Linked DNA regions of Coturnix japonica. The protein of the gene in region 1 binds, or shares a complex with, the protein of each later gene. Links are inferred from orthologs where the notes say so. Each region holds a gene or a part of one and is shown on either strand. Other genes may lie near its edges.

Region 1 (6,369 bases):
ACCATGTTTTCCCTCCATTTTACTAATGGGAAAGAACAAACGTACTTGCCTTCAAGTAATAGTGCAAAGGTTAATCTTCCCCTAACTTCAGAAGCACGAGAGAACATTGTGGATTTCAAATATTATTAATTCTCACAGACATATATTTACTGGTGTTCCAAGCCTAGGGGGACTGTCTGTTGTTTCCTTCATGAAACAGTTAAAGTTCACTAAAGCTAAGGGACAACTGAACATGTTAGAATATTTCCCAATGGGATTAAAAGGAAAAGAAGCAGAGAAGGACTATCTGACAATAACCTACTTTACCACATCTACTTTTCTAGGATACATGCCTCTTTACTCATGGAAATGACACGAACCAATATTCCATACTGAAGTACAGGTTCTTTAGGAAATACTAAGAAATGCCATCACCAGTATAAATTTCAGTCTCACAGAAACTGTGACTGAGTAGGAAATTTATCCAAAGATGGTCAGATTCATGCTCAAAGAATTAAAATATTCAATCATCATATTAGATGCACATGTAAACAGCAAGGATAGTTCTCATAAGAAAGAACAATCTGTTTTTCTACCATGGTCAGCAGGTTCCTTGGAAATAGCACTATGATAAGCACCCCTAAGAAGAAAAAAAGAAGCTCATTTTAGTCTGATTTCTAACAAATGTAACCTATTAACTAGTAGGCATTCCTTCTTTCAATTATATATATATAATATTCTGTGTATATATATACATACAGCTATATGTATATACCTACAGCTGAGATTTTAAAGTTCACAATTCATTGTAAGCACAGATATTTATAAAAAGAAATCCTGAACTGGACACTCAGATTGACAGATTTTCAACTATCAACTTCAGAAGCAAAACAATACATTTATTTGTCGAGCTACTGTGTCAGCCAAGAGTGGTTACACTTCTCTCAATTGAAAGGTCAGGCTAAGATTTGCTGCTTAAGAGGTAACAAGATGCCTGCTGTTTTCAAGGACAGCAATTCAATTCCATGTCTGAACTGTAATTGTGATATGCAGTGAGTTTCTCAATCTTGACATGTTAGGTAAGAAAGGTTGCTGTTTAGGGTGATGCCCTCTGGGTGAGGAAAATTGAAGGACCGGAAACTGTACAACATATGCTGTAAGCCATTACACCTGTATAGTGGCTAACCTTAAAAGAATTAACAGAGAAGGACTGAGCATGGAGGCATTCTGCTTTCTTAATGCCATCTATAGCAAAGCTAACAGAAGTAAAACAAAATCACTGCATCTTAAATGCACATTTAAGCAGCCTCACATACCCTTCATAACAAAACCATTTCGAAAAACACTAAATTGCTACAGCAGCACACTCCTGCATAAGGCATGATAGCAGGGTGTTTACACAAGTGGAAAAGAGCTTTGCTAAATCTTGATTTATATGAAGTCAATACTACTGAAAATCTTTAAAAGTAGATCTAATTGTCTACATAACCACACAATTAGAGAGTAGAACAGAATTAAGCCAACTAGAAATGAACAAATTCTTACTTTATGCTACCTGGGTTAGAATTAATTCAGAAATACTGTGATTATATTTCTGTACACAAGGAAGGTCTCTTCAGGTGGCAAAACGTGGCTTCCCAATTCAGGTTAGAATAAAGCCCATAGCCTATTAATTAGACCAGGGAATGATTTATCTCCAGTGCTACATTAACTTGCTAGCATTCTCTGTTCTAAACATAAGTTGAGGCTTTGGTCAAAATTCCTTAATTACTAAAGCCTCTGTTGTTTGGATTTTTTACTGATGTTAGCAGAGTTGCCTGTTTTAATTAAGTGAAGATTACTGTCACCTCAGTATAATGCCATGAAGACTACAGAATTCAAAAGCTAACAAAGGAAAAAGTTGCTGAACACACATCCAGTCTTTTTTCCCTTCCAGAAGGACAGCAAAATTACTTCAATTTGTTTCCATTTAAAAAACCATAATGGTCAAAAACTATAGTCAATTGAAGGAGCATAGCCTTATTCTCACAATATTATTCATTTCTGATGAAAAAGGTATCACAGAAACTGAGTACACAAAACAACATCATTGGCACAGAACGTGATAATATATTTTCCCTTCTTTGATGTTACTCGTCTCCTTTCATTCCTCCACTTTAATTTCATATTTTCCTCATCCTCTAATTTCTGATTTTCCTTCTGTGAGGTTTTACAGCTTTTAATCAAAAAGCAAAGAAACAAAACCTGTTAAATACAAATACCAGATCAGATTAAGAATGTTTACAGTAACGTTGTCCTCATTGTAACACGCTGACAAAACCACTGAATAGATTACACAACTATAAAAACTAAACCATGTGAAGACTATATCACTGTGATTCTTCCCCAGTTTTATGACAACCAGCACTCCTGAAAATACATTTATCAAAAGTGCTATTTATTGTGCGCTTATCTACAGAAGCCTTATACTTTTATAAATCATCTCAGCTTTTAAAATGCGTAATCAAAGGCTTTTCTTCAATATTAGTAAACGTGAAACTCTCGTTAGAGTCTAACCAGCAAATGTACTGATGTCAGCAACTGGCATAATTAGTTTCAGCAGAATCATAAGCAGATATGATTAAACTTTAAAAGGTTTAAGTAATTTTATCACTGTGAAATGCATGTTGATAAAAGCCCTAAGCTTTGAAGATGCAAAGCTAAGATTAATAGACCAATTTCTGACATATCATTATTAATTTTTTAATAGGATACTGTCCACAGGCCCTTGTTGGAATCACGGAGTCATCACATTAGACACTGTACAAAGTTCAGACTCTTCTCTAACATGTTAAAAATTGGATTTGAGACCTTTATATTCCTGTCTAGTCCAATATTTCTTACACTAAAAAACAATAGCAGCAAGCAGGCAGAAGAGAAGAAGTCCAGAAACTATAACAACTGTAGGAATTAACTAAATGAGTAGCACTATGGCTTGAAGAGAAAGCTTTTGGTTTTGTTTCTTTTTTTATTACTTCTTTTTCTTTTAGTTGTGAAAAGAAACCTTGGCACGCTCTGTTGGCTATCCTATAACCAATACAACTATGTCATCTACGCACAGCATCATATTAGGAATGGGTCTTGAAAAAGCATCTTGCTGTGGAAGGAGAAAAGGCAAAGGCCTCATGGGGAGGTGCCTGGGGCAGGAGAGAAGCATGCTAATAACACACTGGAAAGACAAGTGAGTCCAGGACAGAGAAGCACACAGATAGTAAAGGACAGAAGAAACCAAGACATAGGCTGGAACCTCGATGAGATGTAGGCACGTAGGAGAATTTTATAAATCACAGCAAAAGGGTCTCTCCTTTTTTTTTGCAAGGCTCCATGTGCAATTCTTTTTTTCCCCGCACAGCAGCACATCTCCAATGTTTTTTCTTGCAGTTCACACTGACTTGAATTAGTGAAAAACAGAATCTGGGACAGTCTGCACAGTTGATCTCATCAGATTCTGCTAAAAGTGTTTAACTACAACCACTGTTATCCCATCTGAGCTCTACTATATGGACTAACACCAGTAAGTACTGATGGAGCAACACTAAGCACTAAGTTCCCCAGGTCTGGACCAAACGTGACAGTCATTATCTGGAAATGAACACGACCATATAGATGTCTTGGAAATGTTCAGTGTCAGGCTGGACAGGGCTTTGAGCACTCTGATCTATCTGTAGGTGTCCATGTTCATGGCTGAGAAGTTAGACGAGATAACCCTTAAGAATTCCATCCAACAGAAACAATTCCATGAGAATAATTTCAGTAGCTGTTCTACAAATCCACTTTTCCTCTCAAGAAGTAAAGAGATGCTAAAGAAATAGGTATTAAAACAGACCACAGTTTAAAGTAATGAAACCAACATGCATTTGTTGTTCACTTCAATGTCTCTGACCTGACCATCTGGGAAAAGGGAATGCAGTTCTTTACAGCAATAGGTATTACGGTAGTCCTAACATGCTGAGTTACTGAACTGTCTGAAATGTTTATGGTTAATTAACTGTAAGTTACACTGACAAGTTTCAACATCAGTCATACATACACATACAGAGATGTATTTTATAAGGCTACAAAACTGTCTGAGTTTTACTAGCAATAAAAAAATGTCAGCTTTTATCATGCAGGCTACTATTAAAACCATGTGAAAGAGCCAATTTGTCAAAGAAAGGAAAAAAAATATACAGGTCTCGTTATCGTGACCAGCCTCAGAAGACTATTACACTGACACAGTAGTGCTACAATAAAACAGTAAGAAAATGAATATACCGAACCATTACATAACATCTGATGGCCAGCTGAAAAACAAGAAAGGAAGAGAAAAAGACAGAAGAACACTGTACCTTTTAGCACTAGTTGACAGTTTAGCAGCTGTTTTGCTTGATATTTTGCCCTCTTTTTTCTTGGGTTGAACTTGCTCCCTTTCTTGTTCAGGCTGAACGCCTTCACGCTGATCTCCATCAGAGCTGCCTCCACTAGTGCTCGGACTGTCATCAACTCTCTGCCCCTCTGTAGACATGGCAGATGCTGCACTGAACCAAACACAAACAACGAAGGTCAGCTTTCCCAGAAGAAGATGTCAGACAGTATTTCTTGCAGGAGGAAATAACACACAAGATCCGTGTCTCTATACTGAAACACTTGCATTACAGCACTTCAGTCATCTTAGTACTGAAGAGTTTTGCCATAAACATCTTAACAATAATTCAGGAGTTGGTCGTTTCAAATTCCATAACAAATATATATGAAGAGAGGACAGATTTGTTATTTATGATAATGACAAGTTACTGCAGTTAAGCACAAAACACGATTGTGTGAGTACTACACCAGTGCCATAAAAGAGATTTTCCCACCCCTTGGTCATATCATAAGTTAGCTTTCTCATCACTCTGCCACCAGCTCACATTTCACATCGTTTGTTAAAAACCCAGAGCTACTGCTATCTGAAGACTCTGCTATCCCATATGAAATAAACCTGTGAGTTCATTCCAAGTCTCTAACATGGGTTTCCACATTACAAACTCCACATCTTGGCACACTGGATGGAAACGCTTGCAGAACCAAAAGGCACTAACACAGAACTGTTTGTGTTTACTAAATGCAATGCTTCTAGAGCAGTAAGTATCCTGGGAGGGGATACAAAGTATCCTCTGCCATGAGGCACCAAAGCTGTCAGGGAACACAAGCTACAGGAAACCCCAACATGCTTCCAGAAGTCGAGGTCACAGTTTACACACACACTTCTGATACCAGTTAGCTATTTTCACTGTTTCCTTCATTTTAAGTAGTATAACACTATGGCAGACGAGGAGTTACAGCTGTTAGGACTTCTTAAAGCATTCTAATGAAGAGCAGACATCCATGTAAAACTGTCTATAAATTGGCATACGTGGTAGCAATGACTGCTGGAAAACTGGAAAAAAAAACAAAACAACCCCCAAACCAACAAACTAAACCCTCAATATATCTAAGGGCCAAATATGGGGCTGATATGGGCACGTTATCTGCCCTCCTCTAGAGCAAAGGAGCCACATTCAAGGTACACAGGCCTCAACATCCCTCACTCACATCCACACAATCCCACAAATCGGAGCGACTTTTCTGATTGAATCTGACCAAATCCAGAATCTGCTGCAGAGTTTTAAATTGCTGTGAACTTCCACTTGCTTTCCCTTTTACTTGGGTACAGACACCATCCCAGTTTAAGAGCCAAACTATTCACCGTGGAGATCATACAATTATAATCTCCAGGGAGAAGACTAAGGGTGGGGGTTTTTTGGTTTAATTTCTGAAGCTAAACAGAAAGGAGACCCTGAAAGCCTGAGATGTTCAACATATTTAGATGCTACAAGAAATAGCAAGCGATGGATATGGGATCAGTTCCGCCTTGTTCAGTTTATGCTACGTTCAAATTCAATTTTTGAAAATGGTGGGTTTTGAGACTTATTTTCTCGCATAAATTTATATAAAACAAATTTACACTTCACTGCATAAAACAACTGAAATAACAGCATGTTTGACTCCTAAAATTAAAGGAAGAAATTGTTCATTCTTAGCAGAACAACCTTCCCTGCGGTACAGCTACAGGATGATACTGAGCACAGTTAACATATTTACATGGGTTAATGCCTCTGTATTTATCTCCTGCTTGTCAGATGTAAAGATAAAACAAATAGAAGACTGGGAGGTAATAGAGCACAGAAGCACCATATTCTGACAAGTCAAAATATGCATTTAATAACGACAGTGCAATTTTGGTTGTAGGCACCTGTTTTCTTTGCTTCTACATACAGCGAAAATACCACCTGATCTCTCTCAATAGCACTTTTGATGGCCTTTATTTACTTTAGATTTTAGTTCTGAACT
Region 2 (6,812 bases), on another chromosome or scaffold:
GGGATGAGCCTTTCCAGAGCGTTGTGCACTACACCACTGCTTACAAAAAGCTGGGCCCTTCTGATACCCTGCTGATGTAGAAATGAACATCTGAAAGACATTAACAACTTCTTTTTAATATCATTCTCATGCAAGAAAGCCCAGGTGCTGTATTGTACATCAGCAATGTCAGTGCTTCACAGCATCAACAAGCCAGAGGTGGAGAAAAACACCGTGTGTGTACCAGCACAGCTACAATAAAGGGAAAGGACATTCCCATCTCACCAGGAAGGGGCATATTTAATTCTTGGTCACCAAACGTAGCTTTCATTAAACAGGACAGGGCTGGATTTCCAGTACTACAAAGCCTGTCCCTCCTTCAGATGTAACTAATTCACTGATATGCACATATCAGCTCATAAACACCATTTCTGAATGCTTCACATCCTGCTCCCAGTCAATGCTCAGCGATGACGGCAGGTATCCTGCCCACCTCATCCATCTGTAAATATCACAAGGTTTACTTGTTTTACGGACCCAAAATAAATGGTGATGGTACAACCCGACCCCCACACGTTAAAATGAAGCACGCTGAATGAGGTTACTCACTGAACTGCCTGAGGAAAGGAAAGCCCTCCTGAAATACAGCTTTGGAGCAGAGAGAAAATAAGAGGAGACAGCAGAAGTAGAAACTATTTACATCTTATAAAACTGCGGGGAATCTCCTCCAGCCCTAAATAAAGAAGTTCCATTGCCCTCAACACAGAGATGCCCTCAACCAGAGAAATGTTTCTCCCTACATTTTAGCAGCACCTGTGACACAGGCAAAGCGTAAACATGGTACAGACAGCAGTTACAAAAAGCACACAGCAAAGCTGGCTAAGCTGAAATACAAGCCAGGAACAACAACCCCTAAGCTACATATACACAGCAACATATAGGCAACCTGCAAGTGTGAACAGCAACTTCCTCAGCCTCCTTAGCAGAGGAGCCTAAAGGAACAGAGGATCCTGAAACCAGACTCATGTCCTGCCCTGATAGATGAAAGAAATAAATGGGAGCTTTAGGTATTCTGTGACCAAAGTGTTCTTCACGAAGCCCTAACGCCAAGACTAAACTCGGGCAGGTCAGGCTGCTCCACATCTGGAATTATCCTCTGAAAGAAAGAAGAAAGAAAGAAGATGCTTCCCTCCAGCAGAAAATACATCACCTGAGGAACGGCACAAACAAGCCACAATTTGTAGCTAAAAGTAACCTTCAGGTGAAGCAAATCAAGAACAGGTTGGAGCAAAGCAGGCACAAAACCGCAGCAGGGAGCAGAGCTGACACTCCCACTAACATTCACACTGGGGTGGCCTGAGGCTTGGGTCAGGAACACCACTCTAAATACAAGCAACACACTGCAAAGCTTTCACGCTCCTGAGACAGCCACTCCCATTTTACACCAGTGGGTAAAAACAGTTTTAGCCTCATTTATTCCCTCCTAAAATAGTTACCCCAAAACAAACATAAAAGGGAAATCATGGTCACCAAGAATTACTGCCCATTTATTTTAGGGTCTAAGTAGTGGAACCAGTAAGATGGGAAGGATGGGATGGGAAGGATAAACAAGCACCTAGGGAAGAACCTGACAAACTTCAGAGGTAGAGATTTATTAATTGTTTTTGCCAAATACTTCCATAACAAACAACCAAACGGCACAGAGCAAAGGACTAAAGTAGGTTAATGTGAAAAATACCTTGCTCAGCTTCACACAGCTCAAAGACTGAGTAACAGTAACAGTGGTGAAAAGAGATGATCAACACGTGGGATGGTGAAAAGCCTGGAGGGACCCAGCACCATCTGAGCTACATTTACTCTAATTTGACTTCTTTAGTACTAAACAGAAAGGAAAAGCAATTGGCACATTAGCTGGATTTAAGAGCTGCTACTTCAATTTGGAGAGATCATAAATACTAGCTCTGACAGAAGCCTGAAAGAGTAAGTACGTAGGCAGCATAGAAAAGGTAATTCTACTGGTGAAAAATGGAGATATTATATTTGAAAAACATGCTCGAAGATGCAGAAGAAAAGGGAGAGACTACCTCTACAATGCGAGTGTATTACATGAAATAGCAGCTAAAAAAATCAGCTGGGGATTTAGGAGGGAAAGGGCACTGTGAAGCACTTCTGAGCACAGGGAACAATCCCTGGAGAAAGGGGACTCGATAACACCTAAGATCTTTTCTGCCTCATTTTCAGTTGCAAAGAATGTGGTGAAATCGTGAGAGCAAAAGATACTGAAGTTATTCAATACCAAGGGTGTCAAATGTTCACGCAAGAATGAAGTAATGGGATCCTAAACAGCACATCTAGTGAACATTCACAGGCTCAGCTACAAAATGCCGCTCACAGCACTGAACCTGCTTGAGAGCATTTGCCCCCAAGCAACAGGGAGCCCCAGGTGGCAGGCAATACCTGGGAAGGATCTGTTACCCGCAGCGTCACTACATCTTCACTAGTGTATTTGATAAACAGGTGGTTCTCATCCAAAAGCTGCATCTTCCACATGCGGAGCTGCCTCAGTTGATCAAAGTATTGGAAGAACCTCCTCTTTGCTATTGCGCTGCCGTCCTGCTCTGCCCTTCTCCACAGGTACACCAGCAGCCTGTGCTTCAAAGAGTTTATGAAGGGCTCTTTGTAGGGGTTTGCCATCCCCGTCTGAGTGTCCCTCTGCACCTCGGGATACACTGCAGACAGTGTCAGGAGATCATCCTCATAGCAGAAGCGGCCGATTGTCCGCACATCGATGAAAGTCCCCTCGGGCGTCACCTGAAAGACGTGAATAGTCTGCTGCTGCACAGAGAGAATGGCCAAGATGTTCTTATACAGGTACAGCCCCTGGTTATGAGAGAGGATGACTTTGTCGCACTTGAAAGTCCTCGTGTCACAGAGTCTGCCCGTGTGGAGGTCAATGATATGCAAGGAATAATCTTCCAGAGGGGAGCGAGGGTTGGGGGTCACCGACTCACTGTTGCGATAGACCTCAAAGAAGGGAGGGTGAGGCTCCTCAGGCAGGTAAGCAGCAGAGCCAACGATGACGTACCGACAGTCGTCAGTGAACAAGCTGCACTCGCGGTTCAGGTGCTCCCCATTAGAGGCCACATTGGTGATATGGAGCAGGACGAAGAAGCGCTCAAAGAGCCGCCCTCGGATGTTGACAGATCTTTGGTCATTGCCATTAGCCAGGATCTCCCCCTCGTAGCCTTGCAGGAGGTCCTCAGCCGCCTGGCAGCCCTGATACTCATAGATCTCCAGGGAGGTCTGGTCGGAGGAGAAGGCGATGAAGTAGCGCCCATCAGGGGAGAACTTGCGCAAGAAGCAGGGAGGCTTCTCCACATTGACCACGGTGAAGTTGGGGAAGACGTTCTGGTGGAAGACACGGACCTGGTGCCAGTGGGTGCCAGCCTTGCCAGAGCTGATCCGACGGCGCTCCAGGCGGTGGATGACGTTCTGGTTCTGAATGCGGCGAGGCTTGATTGTGGGGGCATCATGGTCCATGGTCAGAGCATTACTTCATCTTCACCCTGCTGCAGATGGTGCACACACTCACCGTGGGACCTCACCAAGGCTGATAACAAGAGATGGAGCTGCGAGCAAACTCACAATCCCATAAAGGTGGGGGCAGCTGAAAAAGCCTTTGGGAGACGGACTGGGAGAGGGGGTTCAGTGGGACATAACGGGGACAGCAGGAGGTACCCAGAGAGAACCCAGCAGGGAGATGGGACCTGCAGAACAGCCTGCAGGGCACAGGGAAGGATGGAGCCGAGGAAGGCAGCACACATACGTGGGTACCACCGGAATGAAGGGACACGGCAGCACCGGGATGGGGGTGAGAGCAGCCGGGACAGCGGGGACAGAGGGAGCCCGGGGGGAAACGGGGCGGCCTGTGGGTCACCGGGAACAGGAGGATCAACGAGCGGCCTGACTGGAGCCTGCGGACCGGGGGCCGCTCTGCCTCTGCCCCGCAGGGAACTGGGGCTCAGGTCCGGGCCCTCGGGGCACAGAGGAGCTCGGAGCCCCCCGGGCCTGGAAGCCACGGTGTGGCGGAGCCCACGAAGGGTGCAGGCCGCGCTCACCAACGGAGCCCGGCGCTGGACCCGCCGCCGCCGCCGCCTCTTACTGTATGGCCGCCGCCATCTTGCCGCCACCACACAACGACGCACCGCGACGGCGGCGAGAAGGCGTCACCCTCAACGCCCGCTTCCGCTTCCGGTCGGTGGAGCAGCGAGGAGGTGCGTACCAGAGTGTCCGCAGAGAGAGCGAGAGAGAGAGAGAGAGAGCGCCCCCTGGCGGAGGGAGGAGCGCTGCGGGGCGTCCGCGTACAGCGGGAACGGACTGAAACGTGCCCTGCAACGCTATAGCCCTGCACCCCTATAGCCTACAACCCTATAGCCCTGCACCCCTATAGACCTGCAACCCTACAGCCCTGCAACCCTATAGCCTACAACCCTATAGCCCTACAGCCCTACAGCCCTACAGCCCTACAGCCCTACAGCCCTACAGCCCTGCAGCCCTATAGCCTACAACCCTATAGCCCTGCACCCCTATAGCCCTGCACCCCTATAGCCCTGCACCCCTATAGCCCTGCAACCCTATAGCCTGCAACCCTACAGCCCTGCAACCCTACAGCCCTGCAACCCTACAGACCTGCAACCCTACAGACCTGCAACCCTATAGCCCTGCACCCCTATAGCCCTGAACCTATATAAATCCACACCCCTATAGCCCTTCACACATATAAATCCACACCCCTATAGCCCTTCACCCATCCTAAACCCCTATAATCTTGCAGCTTGCAAGCAATAAACCCTCACCCCCATAAATGTGCATCCATCCTGCACCCCTATAACCCTGCACTGCTTTAGCCCTGTAGCCCCTCACCCTTAAAAACCTGCACAAATGCTGCATCCCTATAGCATGCATCTCTATAGCCCTGCACACCCATAAACAGGCATCACTACAGCCCTACACCTATCCTGAAACCCATAATCACACACCCCCATAAACCTGCACCCATCCTCCACCCCTTCAGAACTACATCCCTGTGGCCCTATCAGCCTACATCCCTCCTGCGCTCCTATAAGTCTACACACCCATAAACCTGCATAACTGAGCCCATAAACCTGCTGGGGACGTGCTCACCCACACTGGTCACTGTGCTGCAGCCAGCCCTGGGTGAAGGGCCTCAGTCCCATAAAGCACTGAGTGACATTGCTATCCCCACAAAGCTCTTGGGACATCACCCCAATGGGGGGTGGCAGTTAGGTGCCAGGTCAGTGGGGACCTTTATAACCCCTATACAACCCCACCACTCACCTTGTGCCCCCATATATGTGTGTGGAAAGGAGGCACCTTGCATCCCCTATGGGATCATGAGGAAAGGACCCACTCTATGGGCCTGGGGGTCCGTGCCCATTTCCCTGTGGTTTTCCACAACAGGAGACACGATGACAAGCTGAAAATGAATGGCTTCAGCGCTTCTCTTTGTTTCCCTCCCCCCCCCCCTGTGTAATTAATTGGGATCCACCTTAATAGGATAAAACTAAATACCAAAGAGCATCCAACCACATGGCAGCTGGCAGGAAAATAACCGCCCAGCACACACACAGACAGGCAGTTCAACGGACAAAAGAGCCATTAACACAGCAGCAATCAGAGCTCCTGAGCTAATAACTCCATTGCCGTGGCCAGCCCCGTGTTGTGGCTCAGGGCAGCAGACCTTTGTGGGAACAGTTTTGTTTTCATTTGTCTGTCGGGGTTTGCTGATGGGATTTAAGAAAACTCAGTGAGGCTGGAGGGCTGGGAGTAGGGAGCTGGGTGGGATGCTCAGTGGGTTCAGATGGGATGCAATTGGCTGGAATTGGGTTGGTTTGCTCTTCTTTTAGGAAGGGTTTTGTCCATCCTACAGCTGCAGGTGGCTCTAAGGTGGACTGGGGGGAGGTTTTGGTGGAAAGCACCCAAAGAAAGCAAGTGAGTGTTGCAGACAGAAGCCTGCACAAAGCTTTGCTCCGAGCCATCCCATTTGCTGCTGGGAAAGGTGATAGTGCCATTCCCAGCACAGCCCAATGCATCTCAGGCACAACCTGAAGTTCTGCTCCCAGCTGCACATCATCTGCCCTTTCCGATGGCTGACAGCATCAGCTCCCCTATACAAACCATCCTGTTCCACCTCAAAACCTCAAATGTGTCTACGTTCCCATCACAGATCCCTTGGGATGAGCCCCAGTGCTGCACAGATATTTCCCATCCATCCCCATAGCTAAGCATGGAGGCTTAAAAAACAATAAGCAGAGCTCATTTGGGATGTTTTGGGTGGTTTACTGAAGCAAGAACCTTTCTGCTGCTGTGTACCAAGTGCTGTGGGATCAGTGGGGCTGAGGACTGAAGAAGGAAAGGAAGGACACACTGCTCCCACCCTGCCTCACGCAGCCCCGGCCATCTCCTCACCTGGATGCTCTCAGGGAACGAAGACCCTCTCCAGATCCTGCACATCGCTTTCCCCTCTCGTGGCCCCCCCTCTCATCCACGCTGTGCTGATGGAGGAGAGAAAAACAAACCTCTAGGCTTTGCAGAGAGCAAACCTGGTGCAGGTAGCCCTGCTTGAGGCTGTGCCCTCTCATATGGTGCTCTTTCCAAACGTGCACGGCTGCAGGCACCCATGTACAGTAGAAGAGGTGCTGGGTGCTTTGGGAACCACAGGGAAATCCCTTCTGGAGGTGTTTCTGTTTCTCTGTCCATTTGATATGGGGGGGGGGGTTCTTATGGGTGAAATCTCCAGTGGTGTTTTCCTT

Evidence for each region. Proteins that work in one complex are often made in the same cells at the same time.
Region 2: the proteins of ubiquitin-conjugating enzyme E2 E2 (region 1) and DET1 are in contact, whole or in part, in a cryo-EM structure (PDB 9BJZ), measured with the Homo sapiens proteins. The link is inferred for Coturnix japonica from reciprocal best matches to the Homo sapiens genes UBE2E2 and DET1. Residues at the interface, in NP_001357154.1 of Homo sapiens: Ala77, Gly78, Pro79, Lys80, Gly81, Arg88, Ser89, Thr90, Gly101, Val103, Phe105, Phe123, Arg124, Thr125, Arg126, Ser134, Gln135, Gly136, Gln194, Trp195, Arg198, Tyr199, Ala200, Thr201; in NP_001137546.1 of Homo sapiens: Arg258, Phe259, Tyr261, Asp264, Thr267, Val268, Phe272, Glu274, Asp289, Pro290, Phe291, Ile292, His297, Arg298, Leu300, Val301, Trp304, Arg305, Phe319, Phe320, Gln321, Phe323, Asp324, Arg327.

What each region holds. Positions count from the first base shown.
Region 1 is NC_029517.1:33,816,580-33,822,948, reverse strand, and holds part of ubiquitin-conjugating enzyme E2 E2, read right to left. Parts: intron 4,536-6,369; exon of another isoform or gene 4,531-4,535; 5' UTR 4,523-4,530; coding exon 4,347-4,522; intron 1-4,346.
Region 2 is NC_029525.1:11,804,280-11,811,091, reverse strand, and holds the start of DET1 (DET1 homolog), read right to left. Parts: upstream 4,249-6,812; 5' UTR 4,142-4,248; exon of another isoform or gene 3,549-4,141; 5' UTR 3,520-3,548; coding exon 2,437-3,519; intron 1-2,436. UniProt on the Homo sapiens protein: Component of the E3 ubiquitin ligase DCX DET1-COP1 complex, which is required for ubiquitination and subsequent degradation of target proteins. The complex is involved in JUN ubiquitination and degradation.